7 linked regions of the Sus scrofa genome follow. The protein of the gene in region 1 purifies or fractionates together with the protein of each later gene. This does not show direct contact. Links are inferred from orthologs where the notes say so. Each region holds a gene or a part of one and is shown on either strand. Other genes may lie near its edges. The genes, in order: PPP2R1A, PPP2R2B, ARHGEF2, ECSIT, PRR14, INTS6 and SIKE1.

The links.
Region 2: the proteins of PPP2R1A (region 1) and PPP2R2B purify together in Homo sapiens (co-immunoprecipitation; 9 studies listed by BioGRID and IntAct, with this or other methods). This does not show direct contact. The link is inferred for Sus scrofa from reciprocal best matches to the Homo sapiens genes PPP2R1A and PPP2R2B.
Region 3: the proteins of PPP2R1A (region 1) and ARHGEF2 purify together in Homo sapiens (co-immunoprecipitation; 3 studies listed by BioGRID and IntAct, with this or other methods). This does not show direct contact. The link is inferred for Sus scrofa from reciprocal best matches to the Homo sapiens genes PPP2R1A and ARHGEF2.
Region 4: the proteins of PPP2R1A (region 1) and ECSIT purify together in Homo sapiens (affinity purification with mass spectrometry; 3 studies listed by BioGRID and IntAct, with this or other methods). This does not show direct contact. The link is inferred for Sus scrofa from reciprocal best matches to the Homo sapiens genes PPP2R1A and ECSIT.
Region 5: the proteins of PPP2R1A (region 1) and PRR14 purify together in Homo sapiens (affinity purification with mass spectrometry; 5 studies listed by BioGRID and IntAct, counting the BioPlex papers as one, with this or other methods). This does not show direct contact. The link is inferred for Sus scrofa from reciprocal best matches to the Homo sapiens genes PPP2R1A and PRR14.
Region 6: the proteins of PPP2R1A (region 1) and INTS6 purify together in Homo sapiens (affinity purification with mass spectrometry; 4 studies listed by BioGRID and IntAct, with this or other methods). This does not show direct contact. The link is inferred for Sus scrofa from reciprocal best matches to the Homo sapiens genes PPP2R1A and INTS6.
Region 7: the proteins of PPP2R1A (region 1) and SIKE1 purify together in Homo sapiens (affinity purification with mass spectrometry; 6 studies listed by BioGRID and IntAct, with this or other methods). This does not show direct contact. The link is inferred for Sus scrofa from reciprocal best matches to the Homo sapiens genes PPP2R1A and SIKE1.

The regions. Positions count from the first base shown.
Region 1 is NC_010448.4:57,929,020-57,931,484, reverse strand, and holds the end of PPP2R1A (serine/threonine-protein phosphatase 2A 65 kDa regulatory subunit A alpha isoform), read left to right. Parts: intron 1-1,309; coding exon 1,310-1,401; intron 1,402-1,525; coding exon 1,526-1,542; 3' UTR 1,543-1,965; downstream 1,966-2,465. UniProt on the Homo sapiens protein: The PR65 subunit of protein phosphatase 2A serves as a scaffolding molecule to coordinate the assembly of the catalytic subunit and a variable regulatory B subunit.
Region 2 is NC_010444.4:148,230,826-148,234,325, reverse strand, and holds part of PPP2R2B (serine/threonine-protein phosphatase 2A 55 kDa regulatory subunit B beta isoform), read left to right. Parts: exon of another isoform or gene 1-576; coding exon 577-770; intron 771-3,500. UniProt on the Homo sapiens protein: The B regulatory subunit might modulate substrate selectivity and catalytic activity, and might also direct the localization of the catalytic enzyme to a particular subcellular compartment.
Region 3 is NC_010446.5:94,032,891-94,036,390, reverse strand, and holds part of ARHGEF2 (rho guanine nucleotide exchange factor 2), read right to left. Parts: intron 2,356-3,500; 5' UTR 2,335-2,355; coding exon 2,060-2,334; intron 1,208-2,059; exon of another isoform or gene 1,077-1,207; coding exon of another isoform or gene 1,071-1,076; intron 459-1,070; coding exon 341-458; intron 1-340. UniProt on the Homo sapiens protein: Activates Rho-GTPases by promoting the exchange of GDP for GTP.
Region 4 is NC_010444.4:70,167,963-70,172,039, reverse strand, and holds the start of ECSIT (evolutionarily conserved signaling intermediate in Toll pathway, mitochondrial), read left to right. Parts: upstream 1-1,277; 5' UTR 1,278-1,427; intron 1,428-4,077.
Region 5 is NC_010445.4:17,748,581-17,752,654, reverse strand, and holds the start of PRR14 (proline-rich protein 14), read left to right. Parts: upstream 1-1,274; 5' UTR 1,275-1,394; intron 1,395-1,521; exon of another isoform or gene 1,522-1,755; intron 1,756-2,177; 5' UTR 2,178-2,226; coding exon 2,227-2,249; intron 2,250-2,373; coding exon 2,374-2,542; intron 2,543-3,127; coding exon 3,128-3,249; intron 3,250-3,321; coding exon 3,322-3,511; intron 3,512-4,038; coding exon 4,039-4,074. UniProt on the Homo sapiens protein: Functions in tethering peripheral heterochromatin to the nuclear lamina during interphase, possibly through the interaction with heterochromatin protein CBX5/HP1 alpha. Might play a role in reattaching heterochromatin to the nuclear lamina at mitotic exit.
Region 6 is NC_010453.5:16,455,276-16,458,775, reverse strand, and holds part of INTS6 (integrator complex subunit 6), read right to left. Parts: intron 2,222-3,500; coding exon 2,079-2,221; intron 1,865-2,078; coding exon 1,633-1,864; intron 1-1,632. UniProt on the Homo sapiens protein: Component of the integrator complex, a multiprotein complex that terminates RNA polymerase II (Pol II) transcription in the promoter-proximal region of genes.
Region 7 is NC_010446.5:105,782,796-105,786,295, forward strand, and holds part of SIKE1 (suppressor of IKBKE 1), read left to right. Parts: intron 1-604; coding exon 605-718; intron 719-3,454; coding exon 3,455-3,500.

The sequences.
Region 1 (2,465 bases):
CCTGACTGAGGCGCCACAGTCAGCAGAAAGGGAGGCTTCGGCACAGCGCTGGTTAGGACATTGCTCAGTGGGACAGAGTCGCGGGCACGGGCGCAGCCCCTCCCTCGTGTGTGTGACAGCAGGTGCCACTGCAGTGCGTTGGGGGCACCGTAGGTGTTGGCGCAGGGGCTGGGTCAGAAGGGCTCACCTGAAACAGGCTCCGTCCGCAGGGCTGGGCGAAGAGCGCTGGTGTGGGTGGCAGGGCGGGAACCCTCGTGTGTTGCCAGTGGGGCTGTGAGTGGTAGATGGGCACAGTGACTGAGCATTGGTAGCATCGAGTGGAGCCGATCCAACGTGCACCCTGTGAGCCAGCACGTCCTCTCCTGGGTGTTCGTCCAAGAGAAACGAGTGCTTTTTTTCTAGCAAAGGCCGTTCACGGGGGCTTTATTCTCATTAGCCGTGACTTGGAAATAGCGTACGTGCCTGTCTCGAGCGGTGCCTGGGTTGTGGGCTATTCACATGCTGAGAGGCTCGTCCTGCAAAGATGAGACGCCTGCTGCCTGCAGCAGCCTAGGGGACTCAGGTGGGCACTTGCGTGAGCAGCAGGCCCAAGAAAACCTCTCCTGGGATCCGTTTATGTCACCTGCAGACCTAAAGGGCCCTCTTGGTGAGAGAGGTGAGAATAGCGGTTATGTTGAGGGCAGGGCAGCTGCCTGTCAACTGGAGGGGGACGCATGACGCCTGCACCTCTGACCTCTTTGTCTGGGACACAGCTTCACACCTTTAGTTTCTCTCTGAAGCCCACCTGCCTTTCCCGCAACAACGGGCCATCTGCCAGGATGCATTTCCCTGGACCCCTTCCTCCCTGGGCCCCTATCTCCTCTGGCCCCTTGCTCCCCTGGCCCCTTGCTCCCTTGGCTGGAGGCCGAGGGCTGCCCCCTTTGCCACGTGCCCCTCCTGTTCCTCATCATCAGTTGGCTCAGGTCTCCCTCCCAGCCCGGCTCCGTGTGGGTGAGAGTCAGGGTGGGATTTCCAGTGTTGACACCTAACTCGCCGCCCGTCAGCCTCCGTAAATGCAGTACATGAATGAAAGGCATCTGGTGGCCAAGGCCGGAGACCCAGGGCATCTGGGGTCCCTGCCCAGGTTTCCAGGCCCTCCGACCTCCTGCACCTGTTCTGGGCCCTGGAGGCCTCTGCCGGGTTCGTCAGGCATCCAGCCTTGGAAGCGATCGTCTCTCTGGCCTCAGACCTGGAATTCACGCGTGTGTCTGTCTGTGGGCACCTCGGCCCCAGCCCCGCCCGCCTGACCCCTGGCCCCCTCTCCTCCCAGCACGCTGCAGAGCGAGGTCAAGCCCATCCTAGAGAAGCTGACCCAGGACCAGGACGTGGACGTCAAGTACTTCGCCCAGGAGGCTCTGACTGGTAAGGCGTTGAGGACGCCGGGCCCCAGCGGGAGGGTGGGCTGCCAGCCCGGTGGCAGAGGCGGGGGCAGCGGAGCGCAGAGGGGGGCGGCTGTTCTGACTCCCGCCTCTTCCTGTTCCCCCAGTTCTGTCGCTCGCCTGATGCTGAAGAGGAGCCATGGCTGCCTGTGGTGTCACCCTCCCCTGAAGTCCCTCCCTCGGGAGACAGTGGGGGGCCTTAGGCTGTCGCCCCCCGTGCATGGTCTGACCCCAGGCCCCTCCCCCAGCACGGTTCCTCCTCTCCCCGGCTTGGGAACCCAGCTCGTCACCGTCCGCCTCCCAAGGGCTGGGGGTGCACCCGGAGGGACGGGGCGTGACCCTGGGGGAAGGGCCTGCTGCGGCCTGCGCTGGGGAGAGACGTGAGCAGCCCAGGTCGCCGGCTCCTGCTGCTGTAATGGGGACCCCTCCCCCATCGACTTCTCCACCCCCTTCCTTCCCCTCCGTGGTTTTTTTGTGTCAACTGTGCCGTTTTTATTTTATTCCTTTCCCCCCCTTTTCACAGAGAAATAAAGGTCTAGAAATAGCTGGTCCTCTGGTCCTGGTCACGAGCGTGGAGGTGGGGCACCACGTCAGGCCCCGCAGCCTGGCCTTTCTGGGGAGGACCTCGTCACTGCGCTTGCCGCACTGCGTGTCCCCAAGAGGGGTGGGATGCGGACGGGATTGGCCGGCCCACAGGGCCAGCTGTCCTGAGGGGCAGCTGCTCCACAGACGCGGAGCGCGCAGAGCATGTGGTGGATTTGAGCAGGTGCCCCGGAGCCAGACCGCCTGCGTCGCATCCGAATCCCAGTTCCTCCGGGAACAGCTGCGTGCCCTTGAGTGGGTCGCCAGGTCCCTCTGAACTCAGGCTTGCACGCTGTCAAGTGCAGGAAGCAGTAGAATCCAGATCCAGGGGCCGGGTATGGCGGCTACATGAGTTCATACAGGTCAGGTGGGTCCCTTGGGTGGCACATGAGAGGGTCAGTCAGGGGAGCTGCGCCTTGCGGGAGAGCCCCCTGTGGGCCGGGAGGCTCAGGATAACCAAGCTGT
Region 2 (3,500 bases), on another chromosome or scaffold:
CAGCCTCCTCCTGCAGCAGCAGCAGCAGCAGCAGCAGCAGCTGCTGCGAGTGCGCGCGAGTGGGTGTGAGGGTGAGTGCGCTGGCGCCGGCCGCAGCGCCCTGCCCAGCTCCCCGCGGCTGCTGAGCCCCCGCCAGCAGGAGCCGCCCTCCCGTGGGACCAGCACCCTCATCCGGGCCAGGCCAGCCTGAATCCTGCCCCTGCCATCTCGCCACTGCAGCTCGGTCCAGAAAGGCACCATTTTGTCGCGGCTGCCCGCTCTCCCAGGGGGAGGAGGGATCTTTTTTGCATTTTGGAGCGGCTGCCAACGAGGGGAACCTGTTGGGCATCTCCCTAGCCCCGCTTGTGAGCGCCTCCGGGACGGCGGGTGGGACCAGACCCCTCGGGGCACGGCGCATCTTGGCACCCGGAGGCAGCGGAGGCAGGCACAGCATCCTCGCTGGGAATTGGAGCTGGAGTGAGCGCACCGCGGGAGGAGCCGCCGCCGCAGCCTCGGAGATCCCGAGTGGAGGAGGTGACAGCTCCATTGCCGGGTTTTTATTTTTTTTCTCTCTCCGCCTCCCCGTCTCCTCCTCAGGCTCGGACCATGGTGCAGTCCCACTGGCTCCCCTGCCCCCCTCTCCTGTGACACTGGCTGCGGGGAGGGATCATGGATACTTGTCTGCCGGCTTCTGGTTCCCACGCAAGTAAGCCTGCTGTCAATGGAGGAGGACATTGATACCCGCAAAATCAACAACAGTTTCCTGCGCGACCACAGCTATGCGACCGAAGGTAACGCCAGCCCCCGCTGCATTCCGCCGCTGGGGCCGGGCGCAAGTTGCGGATCGCTGAGCTCCGCTGGCAGCCTGGCGCGTAGCGGCCGAGACTCCTCCGGGCCCCGGGGCTGGGGCGGGGGCTCGGCCCGCAGGGGCAGCCGCCGACGGAGCGCCGCACATCCATCCGGGCTCCGCGAGGCGGGCCGGGCGTTCAGCAGCAGGTGGACCCGGCGCCCATGGGAGTTAAAATGGCCCTCGGGGATTAGGTTTTTCAGGGTGGGGCTCCCGGCTGGAAAAATGACCCCCCCCCCAAAGGCGGTTGACCCCTCCCCCTAGACGTATGCAGAGGTCTTGTGGGGAGGTAAGAAGGAAAGGGGCCCAAGAAAACCGCGAGTCTTCCCTCCCGGAGCGGAATGATGCGTCTCTCAGTGGCTGCAGGGAGGGCACGGTTTCATTTCCTGCCGGTTCATCTATCCGGCCGGGTTACCTGCTCAGACAATCAAAAGCCCAAAAGGCCTGAAAAAGGGCGAACCCCTCTCCTCTTGGAAGTGCATTAGTAAGGTATCGAAAGGTGGCTGGGGAACCAGGGTTGGGGCTGCAAGCGAATGAGTCTGACACGTGGGAGAGCGATGCGATCCGTGGAGCCTTTAAAAATCACCATTATGAATTCTGCAGCGGTAGTTTCTGCTGAATCAACAGCCAGCAGAAAGCAAGAGGGCTCAGTAAGCTGAGCTTTGCCAAGAGGTGAAATTGTCGTCTCTCTCCCTCTCCCCCAGCTTGTTCTGACATTAGCCTGGGTGAGGTGTAGGCAGGAAAGGAAAGTCAGCAGGTGGAATCTCATTTGCCTTTTGTGTGGGAATAGAGAATGGAGACATTTTTTAAAAAAATACCCCAACTTTTGCCTTTTTGCTTTCATTTTCCACCTGTAGGCCTTTATCCTTAACCACTCCTCCAAGGCGTTGCGTTGTCACATTGCAGTATCCATTTGAGAAAATGTGTGTGAAAGTCCTTTAGGAAAATGTGGCATGGCGTGCTAATTTAAGATTATTCTTGTTATTCTTAGGTGCTCAAATTTCTACAGTATTTAATCACATCAAGTCTACTAGACAAATCGAATGGGGGTGGTAAAAGAGTTCAAGTTCTGAAAGAAATAAAAAAGACACACAATTGGAGGGTAGAGGTGGCATCTGCTGTAGACATCCCTGGAAGTTTTAGACAGAAAGCATGGCTAGCGCTATTGAAAATAAAGGTGCTTCATTCATCATTATTGGAGAGCATCACACCCAATACGTCCATGGTGCAGGGCAGACTGTATGAGCTCTGGCCTTCAGAAGCTGGGAGATGGCTTTTAGGATGTTCCTACCCCATACCAAGCATCATACTTGCTGATTTTTTTTTACTTCCCTGGTGCCAGCATGGTTGTATATGTTCTTCCCCCGTCTCAGTGCTTTGTCACTGACTCACCAGTGAACATGGTTAGCTCTTTGCCTGAGCATGTCACCCAAAAGAGAAGTCGGCTTTGGGTCTATTGTCTTCTAAGGCACACTCTTTTTTTTTTTTTTTTTTTTTCCTATTCAAGACAACAAAGATAGGAGGCTGCCTTCATGTTTTCTTCTGTATTGCATTACGCCTCCAGGTACAGGCAAAGGAAACTTACTGAGCTGGGACGATGGGAAAATTGAGGCCATGTGTGTAAGAGTGTCATCTATAGAATGAAGAAATGAGTTACACATGGCTTTCCTTGTTGCTTTCAGGGCCCTAGGTACTTCCTAATCTTCCTTCCTATCTTATCGCATTTTTATATGCCCTGGTAGAACCAGATACAATATCACATACAGTATCTGGGTTCATATTGTCCAAAAGGAGGCATGAGTTTATAGCAAAGAACTTTCTAAAATCTTTCCAAATCAGCCTCTCAGATCACTCCCCTCCCACTGTCTCTCCCTCTTCCCCCACCCCCCGCCCCCACACCACATTTAAAACTCATAAACCTTTATTTCACCATATCCTTCCGGGTGTCTTTACCTGATCTTAGTGAAGGTCTGGGAAGAAAAGAAAATGGAATGTGGACAATGTAAATTGCCTTTCTACTTGCAACCCCTAATTGCATTTTAGGGACCATTCATGCAGTTCTGGTGGCCAGAGTGGGGAGAGTCTCCTCTATGGATGAATATCTTCAAAGTGCTTGTACACCTTGAAAGAGCTCCAGGTCACAGTACTCTTTGTTAAAATCCTCTTCGTTGGGGGCTTGCCCCCAAGTTCTCTTCCTCTTTATTAACTTCAACACACCTTCTGGGGAATTAGTTTCTGGGTCCTTCTATAGACTTGGCTTCTCTTTTTGTCTCCTGTAATATTTCTGCCTTTTCCTGCCTTGCCCAGATATGTCAGATTTTTTTCTGTCTCTCAAATCTCCTTCACAGTTATCTCTGAATTTTTCTTCCGTTAACTCAGATCATTCGACACTGCAGTATTCTATTTAAAGCTGAAAGATTTTTGCTGTGTAGTTAGTGCGAAGGACTCTAAGCTCAATTTGCATTGTAAGTGGTAGCTGCAGGCAAGTTCATCCAGCTAAGAGCAATGCAAATGCTAAAGGACACTTTTACCCCGGCTCTCTCTCCATCTCTCTCCCTCCCTCTCTCTCTCTCTCTTACCCTCTCCCTTCCTCTCTCTCTTCCCCTTCCCCCCTCCATCTCTCTCTCTCTCTCTCTCTCTCTCTCCATCTCTCTCTCTCTCTCTCTCTCTCTCT
Region 3 (3,500 bases), on another chromosome or scaffold:
GTAACAAATAGGGGAACAGGGGCCTTTTAATGAGAGAGGAACAGAGATACCCACATCGACACAGAGACACAGACACAGAAAGGATGGAACAGAGAGTCTCACAGCACGACAGAGGCAGGATACCAAGAGTAGAGGACAGAGCATACAGACCCGGGGAAGCAGACAGAGGGGTACAGACACCAGATCCAGATTTGGTCAGATGGAGTCAGAGAGATGCCTGGGGACAGAGAGACCCAACAGCTGGGAGAACAGAAGAGGCACAGAGTGGTGGCTGGATAGGCAAAGGATCAGGGGAAGGGGAGGAAGGTGGTAGCTTCCATGGGGAGTTGTCTGTCCGTACCACACAGGAGGGTTGGCCTCCTCGGTGCTGCAGTTCCAAAAAGGGGTCCAGTTCCTCTTGGCTCCACTGTAAGGGGTCCTTCTGGGGGCCTTCGCATCCCGATGCCTGAGGTTTGTTCCTGAAACGCACATTGCCATCACTGGCCTCTGAATCCAGCGGCCTGTGACGGGCACCAGGGAGGAACACCGCCTCAGCCCAGCCCTGCTGCTTGCCCCCAGCCCAGCCCTTCCTGTTGGCTCAGGCACAGCCTAGACCCAAACTGGCCTCCCTTCTGGGACTGGGCTTTGGCAAAGCTGTGATGCTGACTGTAGGCAAGGGTGGCCCCTGCTGGTCAAAAGATAGTACTGCCGTCAGAAGAAAGCCAGCATTGTGGGGTGGGCAAGGGCAAGCTGGATTCCCACTCCTTGCCTAGTTTCTGATGCCAATCTTGGCCCCTACTCAGACAAATAGTGTCCCCAGGGTTCCGTTCCTTCTTTACCTAAAAGGGTATAATTAGGGCCTCTAGTGAAAGATGACACCTGGAAGATGCTGAGATACAGCCGGCACTGTGTAAGGGGTACTCAGGGCATCTCTGCCTTTGACCAGCTGCTCTTAGGAAGGTGTGGTGAGTCCTGCGGACAAAGGCTTCTCACCCAGGTTCCCACCTAAGCCACTTCAGGGACAAGAATCCTCTCCCATCACACAGCCCAGCCAGCCCTGCCCAGGAGCTAGAAAAGCTTGGTCTACTCACCAGCATTAAGACAACTTGTCCAAGGGGACCATTGCCAAAGCAGAGAGACAGGGCCCTTCCACGGCTAGCAGGCCCTCTCAGCGACCACTCACACTGAACTCTTCACACTGAGCCCCGGACCTTCTCTTTCTGACTTCCTCTGTCTTTGGGGAAGTGGTCAGCCAGGGATTTTCCAGGAGAGGGGAAGAGCTGGGTCCCTCTCTTCTGGTCTGCCAAGCACATGCAAACCCCTGCACAAGAGCAGCTCTTCCACCATTGCAGGGCCATTCTATGATGTCCAAACATCATGGACCCGCAGGCAGGCAGAAATTTGGGAAAGTGCCAGGTTCAACACTCCAACTCTTTCAAGAAACCTCCCAAAGTTCGCTGGGGCTGTTTCCTCATGTGTGAAATGAGGAGATTGTGCCATACGATCTCCAAGCCCCTTTCAGCTCTAACACTACTATATGTGGAAAGGCGCCACACCTCTCCTGCTCCATTTTCACACACCTTCCTTTGAGACCAGGTAGAAAGGAGGAGCTAGGACCACTAGGGAGGGCCACATTTTGCTTATTTTTTGGGGGGTGGGCTGTACCTGTGGCATATGGAGGTTCCCAGGCCAGGGGTCCAATCGGAGCTACAGCTGCCAGCCTACACCACAGCCACAGAGACACCAGCTCCGAGCCATGTCTGCGACTTACACCACAGCTCACGGCAACGCCGAATCCTTAACCCACTGAGCAAGGCCAGGGATCGAACCTACAACCTCATGGATACTAGTCGGATCCACTTCTGCTGCACCACAATGGGAAGTCTGAAGGCCATATTTTGAAAGGCAGGGTCCATCCTCCCTGGATGGACCAGGGAGGCCCACAACAGGCCTGGGTTCAGATTCTCCAGGGGAGAGACTAGGGGCCCAAGTCACTTCAACTCCTATTGTGCTTTCCAACCCTTTCTCCTAGGTCAAGGACTTGAGGGAAGGAGGGACAGGAGGTCCTCCAGTGGTTTACCTGCTCAGTGAATCCTGGAGCTCCCTGCCTGGTCCCCAACTATGTCTTTTGAAGGGGTCGTAGTTGTGGCTGTGGGCACGGAAAGCCCCCGACCTTCGGAGGGGTACGTCATGGAAACCATCTCCCTCCTTCTTTTTTTCCTCCTCTGCCTCCTCTTCCTCTTCCTCTTCCTCCAGCTGCTCTCTGGACTCTACCACAGACAGGCAACGGCGAGTGTGGCCTTGGGGCACTAGGTCTCCACCTGCGAGGAACACTTCTGGGACGTCTCTGTTCATGGGAGGTACACACAGTCCAGTCTGAATCAAGAAGACAGAGAAGGGTGAGCAGAGTTCTAGAATTCTGGAAACTTGGAACCAGAAAAGTGTCACAGTCAGCCAGGCTGAGATAATCTAGTCACCTCTCCCTAGATCTAGTCACTGAGGCGCAGAACTGGAGGATGGCTGGCTCAAGATCGCACCAGGAATCAGCTGCAGAGCCAAGTCTAGAAGTTTTTTTTTTTTTTTTTCAGGCCCGCACCTGCGGCATATCGAGGTTTCCAGGCTAAGGGCCAAATCCGAGCTGTAGCTGCTGGCCTACACCACAGCAACAGCCACGCCAGTTCTGAGCCACATCTGCTACCTACACCACAGCTCATGGCAACACCAGATCCTTAACCCACTGAGCAAGGCCAGGGATCGAATCCACATCTTCATGGATACTAGTCGGATTTGTTTCTGCTGAGCCACAACCAGAGCTCCCAAAACTTGGGTTTTCTGACTCCCAGTCTAGTGTTCTTTCCAGTACATAATGACATCCTCATTCACTCATTATTATTCCAGTTAAGGGCACCTACATGGCAGAAAAAAAGCCAAGCAAAGAGAAACTGATATTGTTCTTACGCTCAAGGAATTCATTCAAGTGAGTGTGTGTGCACATGTGCGTGTGTGCACATAGATAAAAACACAAATCACAAACGACTGGTCAGAGTTTGCCAAAAGCCACAAGAGATTTCAAAAAAATCCTTCATAGGAGTTGTCTTGTGGCTCAGCAGGTTAAGGATCCAGCGTTGTGCAGCTCAGGTGGCTGCTGTGGCGCAGGTTCGATCCCTGGACTGGGAACTTCTGCATGCCATGAGTGCAGCCAAAAAAGAAAAAGAAGAAAAAAAAGGCTTTGTGCTCCTAAAAGAATGGTGCATATAACCAGTTGGAGAATTCAAAAAAAAAGGAAACAGGAGGAAGTAAATAGCCTTTGAGGTGGGCCTGGAAGGGTGGAGTGGTTAGGACTTGGCCACGCTGGAAGGGGAGGAGTCTAGGCAGATAAAGCACCAGGAAGAAAAGGTGCCTGACTGAGAAAGTATTATGATTTCTTCCTTCTAAGACTCCGGTCATCTGGGAAGTCAGAGAGTCATTCTGACCTCTCCCCATGGAGCAAAGAGAAGGCCTCCAACATCAGCCACATTGAA
Region 4 (4,077 bases), on another chromosome or scaffold:
TGTTACAAACACATACCAACAGCTGGACACAACTACATAATGGAATCCCACATCAGAGACCACCCCAGATTGGCATTGTCAGTCAGACCTTTATACCACCGCTGAGACACAGAGTTTCACACACACACACACACACACACACACACACACACACACACACGAAGTCAGAGATTCATATAGGTACAGGCACACACTGGTAGACACAATCACACACAGATATGTAAAGGGCTATAACAGTCACATGTGTCTTGATGGTGGGACAATCATTTATCCACAAGTTGGGGACACATGGGGTGTCATAAACACAGTCATCTACCCACTAGTGTTCAGACATGCAATCACACACACATTATTGCATGGACCATCAAAGAAATGTTGACACACCTAATCCCAGCCCCTCAGAATTCTGGGACAAATTCCACATCCTTCCACACACACAGAATGACAGACACCCAGAAGCTGATACAATCACAAGTGCACATGCAGCTACTGACACGTGGACACACAAAGTCCCACATGTACCAATGTCCACACTGACACACGTGGGGACTATCCCTGACCTACCCTCATACAGCCACACACAAACGTACACACCTTTGTTTGAGTTCTGAGAAACTACGAAAACCCATGAAAACATCCACACTCTATCGCAATCTCACACACACATACGCACACACACACAATTGTGAACATGCACACTACCCTACAGGATCCTCAACCGTCCAAGCGAGGGAGGTGGAATAAGGTATTAGTGTGAATCCCCCATAATAACAGTAGCAAACGCTTACATGGCTGTTCTGCATAGATTAACTCCATTATTCCATAAAACAAAGCCCAAAAAACAAACAAAACAAAAAACAAAAAACCTCTACGAGGTTATTATAATTGGCCATTTCAGAGGTGAGACTATTGAGGCACAGACAGGTTAAGCACTAGTCCAGACTCCAGGAGCTAGATTAGCAGTCCTTCTTCTTCCCTAACGTCAGCGCCGAATCAGCGCCTGGCACACAGTAAGCCTTCAAATGTTCGTTGAAAAAATGAGGGAATCCACATTACTTAGACCTTTAATATTTCATTCCCGTATTTCAGGTGGGCACTAGGACTGTCAGTTGAGTTCACCCGCTGCCTGAGTCCAATGTCCCAGCTCCGAAACCGCACAGTCTCTCCTTCCCGAACCAAGCTCGCTCATTCGTGGGGAGTCCAGCTTGCCTCGTTAGGGGAGGGGCCTGACTCACCACGAGGCGGGGCCAAGGTCGCTGCGCCTTTTTATTGGTGCTCCTTTCTTCGAGGCGGGACCTCTCTTAAACTGGCGCTGTTGATTTGCCGGCTCCCTGGTGGCCCGTGACCCAGAAGATCTTCGTGCAACATGGCGGCGCCCAGGGGCAAGACATAACCGGCCCGGATTCCGCGGCCGTCCGCGTGAATAGGTAGGTCCCACGCGGGGAGGCAAGCGTGAATTTATGAGCCCTGGGGCAGCCCCTTTGGGGCCAGCAGCGCGGAAGGGCGGCCCCAGGAGGATCCCGGCTGCCGGGGCCAGGGCACCGTGACCTTTTCGGGTACACGGCGGGACGTTCCGAGGAGAGCTGCCTTCTGTGTACCCGCCTCCCCACATCCCTAATCTCTAATCTTGGAGATGAGACAGCTGAGGCTCAGAAAAGTTAAAGCCGTCTCCCAAGGTCACGCCACAGGTTGGCAGCTAGGCTAAAGTTCGCTTCTTTCTCCCAAGGGCGTCAAAATCCTAGCAGCCAGCCTCAGAGCTGCTGTAGGTACACCCTGCCTAGGGGTTCAGATTTATAGAAGCTTTGTAGAAATTTAGCTCTTCTTATTCATTTGATATTTGTTGGGTACCTACTATATAGCAGGCACTATCCCAGGTGCAAAAGAGACAGCAAAAAGGAAGACAGACAAAAATCTCTGGTCTCAGGAGAGCTAGACGTTGAACAAATCAGAAGTAAATGAAACGTGACTTCAGATGCTAATTGCTAAAAATTCATTCATCAGGATGATGGGGCTTTAGATTGGGAATGGGGCAGTAGTCAGGGAAGGCGTCTCATTTGAATATAGACCTGAATAACCAGGCACAGCAATGAACTGACCTGGGGAAGGAATTTCCAAACAGGGAAAAGCAACCTCAGAGGCTCTGAGACTAGATAAAGTCAGCTTGTTTAAGAAACAGCGTAATGGGAGAGTTCCCTGTTGGTCTAGTGGTTAGGATTCAGAGCTTTCACCTCTGCAGCCTGAGTTCAACCCCTGATCTGGGAACTGAGATCCCACAACAAGCTGCTGCACACTGCAGCCAAAAATAAATAAAAATTAAATAAAATTTAAAAGAGAAATAAATGGTGTAGCTGGAGCTTCCAGTAATAACAGTTGAGTTTGGAGGGATGGAGCCTGTCTGATTTTTATCTCATGTGATGTGCAATTAGTGACTTTAGCCGGAGAACACTTTAGTTTACATTTTAAAAAAGCTCCCTATGACCACTTTAGGGAGAACTGGCTGGAGGCAGGTAAGGAAAGGAGTGTGGGTAGATGAAGAGAGGTCATGGACTGGAGTTGTGGCTTGCAGATGGAGAGAAATGGGATTGTTTGAGGTGGATCTGGATGTAGCAACATGAGCAGCTGATGAATTGGTTGGGGAAGTGAGGAACACAGTGGACTCAGAACCAGGTTTGTGGTTGATTGACTAGGAATGATGGTGTAATGACATCAGGCAAGGATGAGATGGAACAAGTTTAAGCAGGGGCATAAGTTAGGCGCAAAATAAGTTTGAGATGGCTAGGTATACACCAAAGTGGCAGTTAGGTATGGAAGCTGGAGCTCAGGGATGGTGATAACCATTGGGAACTATCAGCACATAGATCTTCATTTCTCAGACTTTAACACACATAAGAGAAATGTGGACTTTTGTTTAAATGCAGATTCTGCTTCAATAGGTCAGGGTTAGGGCTGAGATTCTGCATCCAAATAATGATGCCAATACAGCTGCTCCCTGAATAGCAAAGGTTTAGATTAAGGTCTAATCTCAGCTGGATGTTAGAGTCATTGGAGTGCTTTAAATGCTGATGCCTGGGCCCTACCTCTAGATATTCTGATACAATATATCTGGGGTATGGCCTGGGCATGTGATTCTTTAAAGCTTCCTAGATAATGCTGAAATGAACAAGGTTTGAGAACTATGAGAGCTGCCTACAGAAATACAGAGAGAACACCTCTCTTGGAAGCTGAATGATACCTTACGGTAGCAGACAGACAAGTTCAAAGTGTAGGACTCTTTGCAGCATTATTACTCAAAAGACAGCATTAAGCATCACATAGAAGTTTGTTAGATTAAAAAAGTCTTTGGCTCCACCCTAAACATTCTGAATCAGAACCTGCATTTTAACAATATTCTCAGCAATTCATCTGCACATTCAAGTCTGCAAGCACTGCACACTTTAGAGAAGGAAGCCAGTCTTTCTGATTGGCTGAGAAACAGGCCTGGGGGCTAGGAAGAAAATCAAGAGTGCCAAGGTGGGAGGAGGGCATCACCCATTCCAGATACTTCTGAGAAACTGAGCAAAATGAGGCCAGAGAAATAACCACTGGCTTTGTTAAATGTAGAACGTGCAAGGGGTCTTTACAGGAGTGGTGTCAGTGGAGTGGCTGGGACAAGAGCCAAACTGGAGACAGTGAAGAAGTAACATGTAGACCCCTCTTGGGAAAAGCTGTACTATAAATAGAGCAGAGATGTGGAACAGAGGTGGAAGGAGATGCTAGAGAAAGTTTAAAGGGTGATATGAGTGATCCAAGTATGTACCAACTTATTTTATGAGGCCAGCATTACCCTGATACCAAACCAAACAGACACAATAAGAAACAAAAACTACATCCCAATATCCCTTACCAATATGGTTGCAAAAATCCTCAACAGAATACCAGCAAACCAATTTTGGCAACATAAAAAAAGATTATATACATCATGACCAAATGGAATTTATCCCAGAAATGCAATATTGGTTTAATATTTGAAAACCAATTAATGTAATGTACTTTTCTTTTTTGGTCTCTTTGGTCTTTTTAGGGCCACACCCGCAGCAT
Region 5 (4,074 bases), on another chromosome or scaffold:
ATGGAGGTTCCCAGGCTAGGGGTTGAATTGGAACTACTGCTGCTGGCCTACACCACAGCCACAGCAAAAGCAATGTGGAATCTGAGCCGTGTCTACAACCTACACCGCAGATCGAGACAATGCCAGGGCATTAACCCACTGAGCGGGGCCAGGGATCGCACTCGAATCCTCGTGGATGCTAGTCAAATTCGTGTCCACATTCACTGAGCCACAGTGAGAAATCCCTGTGTCACTACTCTTATCATTTAATCTCATAGGCGAGAATCATGCTGGGCTGGGTTAGGTCACTTGTGCACCGTCATCTCAGACGCAGGATTCTAGGCTTCAGGCTCTCTTGCTCCAGCAAGAAAATAAGTACTAGCTTGGACCAGGGAATCCTGGGGAAGGAGTGGAGGCATGAGTTTTGGTTAGGCGGTGAGGGTGCCTTCACAGTGCAAGAAGCCACTACCTCCCCACCACCAGCTGGCTCCTGGTATAAAAGTTTCAGGATGAAGCCCCTTTAAGCAGCAGGATTCCATCCCTGGTCCCTTACTACTATGGGACTGATTACACAGCCCATCAGCTAGGTCCCTCTTGAAAGAGGGCTCGGGGGAGGCCCGAAAAGAGAGGAAAGCGGCCGCACCCCACCGAGCACCCCAAGGTTGTTATTGGTCTCCTGGCACTAGCACCTCTATACTGAGCCCCCAGCGCCAGCGGCAGAAACCCCCGCTCCTCCAGGAAGAGGTACACAACCCTTGGGTGAAGTGAAGCTCAACGCCCCAGCCTCCTCCGCACCCCCGCTCAGCCCAGTCCCTCCAGGACGCCACGCAACCAGAGAAGCAGGAGGTGGCACCAGCCTGTCTCTGGTCCCCGCCACCCGCTGCCAAACACTTCCGTGCAACTCGGGAACCCGGTTCAGCAACCCACGATGGTACTGGAAAAGGCTTCAAAGGGGCCTCTCTAGGCAACTGGGAATTTCACATATCGTTAGCACTCAGTTCACGTTTATTGGCCCAAGTACGAAAGAACCGGAAGATGCCCTTAAAAAACGTGGCGGTACTCTAGCTTCATGACAGTTGCCTCAGTAGCTCAAGAACCTTGGCATCATCTTCGGCCACTCACTGGCCGGAAAAGATGACGCCATCCGGCCCACTGCGGTCCACTGAGGACAGCGCTATCTGCCCTCAACTATAATGGCGGCGCTGCCCAATTTGGCTTCTTGCCCCTAGGGATGATGGCCGCTAGGCGGCTTCACTTAGTTTCTCACCACCCCGGAAGACGGCGACCGGCGATTGGGCGTTGCCCAAAGGCTCTGAGAAGAAGGCCCTCGGCGGTTGGGCAGAGCTGGGTAAGGCTAGTTTTAAAGGAGCCGGAGGTGGGAGCCGTCGAAGACCCGGGATCCGCGGGAGGCGGCGGTGAGCGGCGCGCGGGGGAGGGCACCGAGCGGCTGAAGAGAGGGCGGGAGGAGGGAGGGAAGGAAACTTTTGAACCATCTGGTCCCGGGCTGGGGAGAGCGCTGGGCGGGGATCCGGGGAGGGCGGAGGGAGGGGGTCTGTGGGCGGGACCTCCCGGGATTGGAGTGAAGGGGGTATCTGCTTGACAGTGGATCCCCGGGGATCCGGACTGAGTTTGTGATGCTCAAGCTCGGGCAGCCCCTTTCTGAGTGGAGCTTTGTGGAGCCGAAGCTCACGGGGAGAGGAGGATCCTCGCGCGGCGTCTGACTGGAGGAACCGCGCTATAGGATTCTTTCAGCGGGGATCCAGTCTAGGGGATCTGGTAGGGGGGGAACCGTCGGCGTGTGGGAGTGTTCCTTCGGAGTCCTCGCCCACTCACTGGGAGTGGATGAGGATTACAGAGGGATCTGGCGGAAACTGAGCCTCTGAGGACCGGGATCCCAGCTGATCCCGGGGGATCTCAGGGCAGAATCTGAAGGGACAAAGGCCCCAGGAGGCTTGGGCCGTGGGAGAACTGGGGCCGCTGCAATCCAGGTTCTCGCGGCCAGGCAGGGCGCGAGTGATCCACTGATCGCGGCAGCAGCGGGAAGACACCCGTTCCCGGCGGCCAGACGAGGGCGCCCTTCCGAGCCCCAGGGCTCCGGCCCCTGGGCTACTGGGAGCCTCGGGCGGACCATGAAGGGCGGAGCCCCAGGGGAGGGGCTGGCCCTCACTCCCCGCTCCCCCGCTCCCCCCCAAACCCAGGCTGGAGCCTGGGATCCCCCAGGGACTCCCCGGAGCCGCCGCTTCCCCCATGGACTTGCCCGGGGACTCCAGGTGAGAGCGCACCCCGCCCGCCTGTCTTGAGCCCGGGAAACGGGGAGCCTGGTGGCCGTACCGGGGAAACCACAGAGCCAACAACAGGCTTAGAGGACCGTCCTCTGCTTCTCTCCACCTCCAGCCCGCCTGGCCGGCAGCGTCTGTGCCGCCAGCCTCTGGCTCGAGCATTATGGGGAGCCAGGAGCCCCAAACGGCCGAAACTGCAGCCCCTTGGGGCCCCTTCGCCCTTGGAAAAAGCCTCTCGGCGGGTCCTGGCTGTGGTCCTGGAAGATGTCATGGCTGCCCACATGGTGAGCCCCTTGAACTGAGAGGCCCCCTTCTCCCTCCCGTCTCCTGGGTACCAAAGCCAAACCCGTTCTTTAATGAGGATAACAAACACCTCATTCTCACACTCATCCATCAGGCAGCCTCCCACTCGGCTCTCACTTACTCTAACCTGGAAGTGGGTAGGGTCTCCTGGACCCATTCCTCACCACCGACTCTGCTGGGCTGAAACCACGTCCCTACGACTCTAAGTATGAGAAACCCTTCTGCTTTCTTCCCAGCCCAACTTCTAAACAACCCTTAGGAAGCAGGCTGAGGTCTTTGGTTCCACTGCTCAGATTAGAAAAACTGAGGCCCCAAATAGGGCAGTGACTCTCTCTGGGTACCTTCTCCTTTTCATTTCTACAAAGAAACCTGGGTGAATATTACCCAAGTCCCACACCAGCAGCTCAAGACACTCTATTATCTGGTCCTTAATTCAGCTCAGCTGACTTCTTGGGCTCGCGAATGAATTCTAGGCACGATGTCTGCCATCTGTATGGCAGAGGACACTGTTAGGCCCAGGGAAGCCCTGTCCGTCACCTTGCTCTCGACACCTCCTCCTCTCCTAGGTTCCCCTGGTGCCCCAAGAGGAGATCTCCACCCCACGGCACCGCAGCAACCATCAGGATTCCGCCCGAAGCCAGCCACCTGCCTCACCACCCCGACAAGCCACGTGGTGCTCACAGGCCAGGTGAGCATGGCAGGATGAGGGGTAAGCTGGGAACCCAGCTGAGCCCTACTGATCTTCCTGTTCCGTCCCTAGGCCCCCCGACCCACTGCGCTTATGCCGAGAGCCCTTGAGCCGTGTCCATCGGCCCCCTTCCACCCTGAGGCGGCGTTCAAAGCCAACACCTGGCCCAGAGGAAGGCCCTTCACAAAAGGTGGACCAGGCCCCCCAGCCCACTCTGGTGGTGATGCTAGAAGACATTGCCAGCCGCAGAGCCCCGGTTGAGGTATGCGAACTTCAGAGAATGATGTTGGGGGTTCAGCTGGGGGCAGGGGCTCCAGCGGGCATGGAAGACAGAGTAAAAGGGCTGAGTCGGGGGTGGATTTTTTTTTTTTTCCTTTTCTTTTTTAGGGCCGCACATGCAGCATAAGGAAGTTCCCAGGCTAGGGGTCGAATCTGCTGCAGCCATGGCAATGCCGGATCCAAGGCACATCTTCGACCTACATCACAGCTCATGGCAGCGCTGGATCCCTAACCCACTGATCGAGGCCAGGGATCAAACCTGCATCCTCATGGAAACTAGTTGAGTTCGTTACTGCTGAGCCACAACAGGAACTCCTAGGGTGGATTTTGCTCAGAGTGAGAACAGTTTTAGGTGAAAGAGACCTCTGCCTGAGCAAAGACCTATATGAAAAAGCCTTTAGCGTGAACCTAGGCAGGCCTCTGGCGACTGAGAGATTCGGAGTGTGAGGAGCTAAAGAAGCCGCAGGGGCCTTCCCTGCCTGCCCACGAACATCCCCTGTTTACATCCAGGGTTTTGCCGGTGAGACGCCCAACTTCATCGTCCCA
Region 6 (3,500 bases), on another chromosome or scaffold:
ATAGTATCAAATACCCAATCACTGCCCACAATCTCCAATTGCCACATTTTCTGTGTCTGTGGAAAGTTCAGGGTCCAAATCAGACCATAAACACACTGCAATTGATTTATATGTTTTAATCTATAAAATCCTTCTGTACCTCTTTTTTTCCATGCACTTTTTTTTTTTCTGGAAACACACACACACACACCAAAGTCTTTGTCCTATAGTTTCCCGCAATCTGGATTTTGCTAATTATATCTGTTTTGTAATTTAACATGTTTCTCTGTCCCTTATATTTCCTAAAAATTGGTACTTAACAGAGGCTTGATTAGATTGATGGTCAGTTTGTGTGTGTGTGCGTGTGTTGGGAAGAGGAGAGCAAGATGACTTTAAAAGTAATACTGTATAATTCCATCAAGAGGTATAATATTAATTTCCTTCCAGTTAAGACATTATTAGCCATGAAAGATCACCACCTGCAATTAACAAATCCATTAATTAAGAGTTTCCTATATCAATTCTCATTCTTGCCCACAATAAGGCCAGCCTGGTCTTTATAAAATGCTAATCAGATCAGATCATTACCTCTTTAAAACCTTTCAATGGATTTTCCTTGTCCTTAGAATAAAGTCTAGAATCTTTACAGTGGCTTCCAAGGCCCTCTATGATCTGGACTCTGCATGTGTATTTCAGTTCTCACCTTACCTCATCCTAACCCCTAATGTGTTAGAATTCTTTCAGCTCCCCTAATGTCCTGCTCTTTACTGTATGCCTTTGCACAGATTCTTCTTAGACGACTACTGTAGCACAGGCGAATGCACAGCTTTAGTTATTAACTAATTCCCATTCATCCTTCAAGTGGTCGCTTAAACATAACTTCCTCAGCTAAGTGCCCATAGACTATGTTAAATCCACTTGCTAAATGTTTCCCAACATACCAGACTTCCCTTCTGTAACATTCATCATACTTCCAGTGAAATGTTCGATGACTTTCCTTCCTCACTCATTATAAATGCGCACAGTGATCACTGTCTTGTTTACCACTATAACTCAGTGCTTCGCACTGTCGAAAATAGCATATCATGGAGTTCCCATTGTGGCTCAGCAGCACAAGGATCCGACACTGTCTCCCCTGAGGATGTGGGTTTGATCCCCGGCCATGCTCAGGATCTGAGCCTTGCCACGAGCTGTGGTGTAGGTCACAGATGCGGCTCAGATCTGGTATTGCCACGACTGTGGCCTAGGCCTCAGTTTCAGTTCCAATTTGACCCCTAGCCCAGGAACTTCCATATGCCACAGGTGTGGCCATAAACAAACAAAACCGTATCATTTAAAAATTAGTGGTTGAATTAAACTGAAATTGAAAACCATCTTTCTGTGGGTATTGATAACACCCCTTTAGAAAACTGTAGTTTTTAAATATTTAAGATTTGCAAATGATATTTTAGATCATGATAACTGTTAAACATAATAAGCACGAAATGTTCAATAACCGTTCATTTAAAAGATATAGAGAAATGCTTACATGCTAATTTAGAATAAACAAGTATCTTCTCTTGGACTTCATCGATTTTTTTCCGTAATATATTACAAAAATCTCTTCCGTGAAGAATCAAAAAACAACAAATAATGTTAAGGACAAACTCTTACCTTTATGAAGAGGAAGGGGTTTAATAAGATCTGGCTGTGCTTGAGTCATAGGTACAGGTGGCCCTTTTCCTCCAATATGATTGTTCACAACGGGATTCTGCTGTCTGCCTCTCAGTAGTGGAGACATACAGCGGCGTCTTTTAGGGATGCCTTGCATATTTGGTTCTCCAGGTCGTTTATGTTTATTCTGAGGTCCAGCCACAAATTCATCTGCCTCATCTATCATCATTCCCTATAACAAGAAAGAATATAATTTCCCTGTCTTTACATACAGTTTTTAAATGGCACAAATAATTCCAATTACCATTAAAATAACTATATTTTAACTATGTGACATTAGGTATTCTACCAGGAAAATAGCTTCAGCTTACTTGAGTTAGATTAAGAACTGTTAAATTCACAGTGCCTAGCACAAATAAATTATATAAATAACATTCCAAATTTACCTTTTTATCCAGCTTAAAGGGGTTGCCAAATGTATGCAACCTTCGAGGCTGATCAGGATCAAGTTCTCTTAGTGGAGAAGGTACTTGCTTGAGGTATTCCTGGTAATTCCCCATTTGTGCTATAGGAACACTGTGCACTTGATCTTTTCAAACAGAATAGAGCAACAACAAAAGTTAACCTCACTAAAACTACCTTCCATGTGGTTATCGAATAATATCTTCTCATGAAAACAACCTAAATGTCCATCGACAGATGAATGGATTAAGATGTGGTATATATACACAATGGAAAATTACTCAGCCATAAAAAAGAACAAAATAATTCCATCTGCAGCAACATGGATGGAACTAGAGACTCTCATACTAAGTGAAGTAAGTCAGCCAAATACCATATGATATCACTTATACCTGGCATCTAATTATGGCACAAATGAACCTTTCCACAGAGAAAATCATGGACTTGGAGAACAGACTTGTGGTTGCCAAGGGGTAGGAAGAGGGAGTGGGAGGGACTGGGAATTTGGGGTTAATAGATGCAAACTATTGCCTTTGGAATGGATAAGCAATGAGATCCTGCTGTATAGCACTGGGAACTGTATCTAATCACTTATGATGGAGCATGATAATGTGAGAAAAAAGAATATATACATGCATGTGTGACTGGGTCACCTTGCTGTACAGTAGAAAATTGACAGAACACTATAAACCAGCCATAATGAAAAAAAATTAAAATCTTAAAAAAAAAAAAAGAAAAAAGAAAAAAAATAGTGTCTCCTGATGTATGACTGCTCCCCGGAGTTACTGGGGGCAGTCCTCCCTTACCACATGGCCTACATTAGTTTGTTGCCATTATAAATATTGTGACAGAATCTAGAGATTTTTAAAAATAAAACTTAATTATCTTCTAAACAAAACAAATTTCACTGTATAGAACAAGCAATATGTTTAACATTTCCATGAAAAGGAGTGTCTCTTCTACTCTATTCCAAATAATTATAGCATAATTTACAGGAAAATGATGTAGATTACCCTTTTTATAGAACGCTTAGTTGAAATGCTTATATCAGAGTGGGCAAAGGGTTAAGTTCCCACCTGACTTGATTCGTAGTAGCTGCCATGGGCAGAGTAGAAGAAAATACCAGAATATGACATATTTTGGCCATTTAGAGTTAAATTATCGGATATTAGTACATCACAAGAAAACGATGTTGTTTGTGTCTGTGCCTATATGTGTGAATGTATAAAGAAAGCCAAAAAGGAAACTAAGCTGTTAACAAAGATTGTTACTTCTGGGGAACAGAATTGGGCACAACAGTGACGGCAGTAAGAAATGCAGAGAATGAGGGATGAGTCACTTTTTACTTCATTCAATGATTATGTAATACTACTGTAATAATTCTTTAAAAGTTACAGCAGCATTCT
Region 7 (3,500 bases), on another chromosome or scaffold:
AAGCAAAAACTTGAACCTTGAAGGAGACAGAATTTAGTTTATATTAAAAACTTGCTGGGAGTTCCCTTTGTGGCTTAGGGGTTAACAAACTCAACTAGGATTCATGAGGATGTGGGTTCGATCCTTGGCCTCACTCGGCATTGCTGTGGCTCTGGTGTAGCTTGGCAGCTGAAGCTCCGATTGGACCCCTAGCCTGGGAATTTCCATATGCCGTGGGTGCAAGCCTAAAAAGCCAAAAACAAAGCAAAACAAAACTTGCTAAGAGATGTGACCAAAGATACAATAAGATACCTTGGAATGTGGTAAGTTTGGTGCCAATAAAAATATTTGAATTTAAGTTAAATAGCCATTTAGAGATACTCTCCAACATGCAATGAGTGTTTAGACCAGAATCGATTTTCTGGAAACAAATTACCTGTGAATATCACAAGGTAACTTTATTGTGGCTTTATCTCTGAGGACTGAGATTATAGTGAAACTTCTGTGTAAGCTCTGTAACATAGATTAAGTGAACTTTTAACATCATAGTGCACATGTTCTCATGAACTTCCTATCTGTAAAAAAAGATGACTTTTCCACCTTTTTTTTTTTAATATCATCACAGGAAATTGAGAGTCAGATTGACAGAATCTGTGAAATGGGAGAAGTGATGAGGAAAGCAGTTCAGATGGATGATGACCAATTTTGTAAGATTCAGGAAAAACTAGCACAATTAGAGGTAAAATTGTTGCTATTTTAGGTTCACAATATTTTTTGTTGTTATTGTTTGGTGGGGGTTTGGGTTGTTGGAGATTTGTGTGTGTGTTGTTTTTGTGTGTGTGTGTGTGTGTCTTTTTGCCTTTTCTAGGGCCGCTTCCTAGAGGTTCCCAGGCTAGAGGTCTAATCAGAGCTGTAGCCAATGACCTACCTCACAGCCACAGCAGTGTGGGATCCGAGCTGCGTCTGCAACCTACACCACAGCTCACGGCAATGCCGGATCATTAACCCACTGAGCAAGGCCAGGGATCGAACCTGCAGTCTCATGGTTCCTAGTCGGATTTGTTAACCACTGCGCCACGACGGGAACTCCTGTGTGTGTTTTTTAATGGAAGCACCTGTGGCATATGGAAGTTCCCAAGCCAGGGACTGAATCTGAGCCCCAGCTCCAACCTATACCACAGCTGCAGCAATTCCAGATCCTTTAACCCACCATACCAGGCCAGGGATCAAACACATGCCTCCACAGCAACTCAGACTGCTAAAGTTGGATTTTTAACCTTCTTCACCCCAGCGGGAACTCCAGGTTCACAATAATTTAGGGAGTTTTTAGAGTCTGGAAGGTATGTCTTCACTGTCCTATCACTGCAGTGTATTGATGTTTTCTCTGTGCTCTGATTTAAAATTAAAGCACATCTCCTGGGAGTTCCCATTGTAGCACAGCGGAAATGAGTCTGACTAGTATCCATAAGGATGTGGCCTCGCTCAGTGGGTTAAGGTTCCAGCATTGCTGTGAGCTGTGATGTAGGTCCCAGGCATGGCTCAGATTCTGTGTGGCTGTGGCTGTGGTGTAAGCTGGCAGCTGTAGCCCCGATTCGACCCCTAGCCTGGGAACTTCCATATGCCATGGGTGTAGCCATAAAAAAAAAAAAAAAAAAGCACATCTTCCTTACCCTTTTCATGAAAGGAAATGTAATCAGCAGCAAACTGAAGATGCCAAGTATGTATTGGCTAGAAATTGAGATGTCACATCAGGAGGGCAGAGAGAGGACAAGGGACAGATTACATGTAAGCAAAAAATCCCTCATCTGCTGCAAAAAGATTTCAAATAGATAATGTCTAATATTTTGATTAAGATGGGAATAATTTACAAAGAAGAGCCTGGGATGTTAGTGTTCCCGTAAAATGGTTAAGCAACAATGTTGTAATAGATGACTTAAATGTTCCTTATTACAGGGTGCTGTCATGGACCTTTGACGAATATGAGCAAGAAAAAGATAGGGTCCCTGCTCAGAACCTGATGAAAGGAATTGTACTAGTACTTGTTTTGGTACAAAATGGTATATAAATGCTAAAAGAGAGACACAGGGTATTGAGGGAAGCACTTTGTATGGCAAAAGTGTTAATGAGCATGGGCTCTAACCCTTAGTGAAACCTGAAAATGCTGTGGTTTACTTAGAATTTCCTGCTGAGAGAATAAGGGTGAAGAGTGCAAGCGGCCCTATCTGAAAATCAAAGGGAGTGACAAGGTCCCAAGTAGGAACTAGGAGTTAGTTAAAATGATAGAATGACCTTGTCTACATCCCTAATTTATCTTAGTTATGGAAACAGGCCTAAGGAAATGTGTGACACATTTTACTTAATACTTTTTGTTTTTCTTTTTCTTTTTTTGCTTTTTAGGCATATGGAAGTTCCCAGGCTAGGGGTCAAATCAGAGCTACAGCTGCCTGCCTACACCAGATCCGAGCTGCATCTGCGCCCTACACCACAGCTCACGGCAATGCTGGATCCTTAATCCACTGAGCGAGGCCAGGGATCGAACTGCAACCTCATGGTTCCTAGTCGGATTCATTTCCGCTGTGCCACAACAGAACTCCTACTTAATACTTTTAATGCTGACAAACATGGGTATTGGATTGAGGCCCCAGCAATATGACATCTGAGTTTGAACAAGTTTTGGGACTTCTGTAAGCCACAGTGTCCTCATCTCAAAGAGAACACAGACATAGGCAATGGTACCTACCCTCTGTGTTGTATGAGATGATGTATGCAGGATGTCCATGCAGTACCTTGCTATGTGCCCGATAATTCTGCTCCGCATTTCCTTCCTTTCTCCAAAACTGTCGGACATCTAGGAGAGAAAATTGAGCAGAATGAAAGTGTTGTTAGGAATTGAAGAGATAAAAGAAACAAAAGTAAAACTTGTGGGAACTATGAAGAGTTTGACAACCAGTCAGTTCCTGAAGTGGAGAGGGACCTTGTTTTTTCCTTGTAGTCCTAACACATGGCATATAGAACTTACTCAAATTCTTAAATGAATTTTAAAAAATAGTATTTTAGGAAATTCTCAGTTCTTTTGTTTCCTCGAAACTTTTAAAATATTTAAAACAATATGCTTTCTGGAGTCCTGTTGTGGCACAGCAGAAACAAACCCAACTAATATCCATGAGGACACGGGTTCAATCCCTGGCCTCACTCAGTGGGTCAAGGATCCGGTGTTGCCATGAGCTGTGGTGTAGGTCATAGACGTGGCTCAGATCCAGCGTTGCTGTGGCTGTGGCGTAGGCCGGCAGCTGCAGCTCCCACTTGACCTCTAGCCTGGAAACTTGCATATGCCACGGGTGCAGCCTGGAAAAAAAAAAAAAAAAAAGGAAAAAAAATAACAATATGCTTTCTGTTTCAGGGCCAAAACAATGTGTTCTGATAACAGTTTGACAGTCAAAATACCTGACATTAACAATGTACTTTTTTTTTCCAGCTTGAAAATAAGGAACTTCGAGAGTTACTGTCCATCAGCAGTGAGT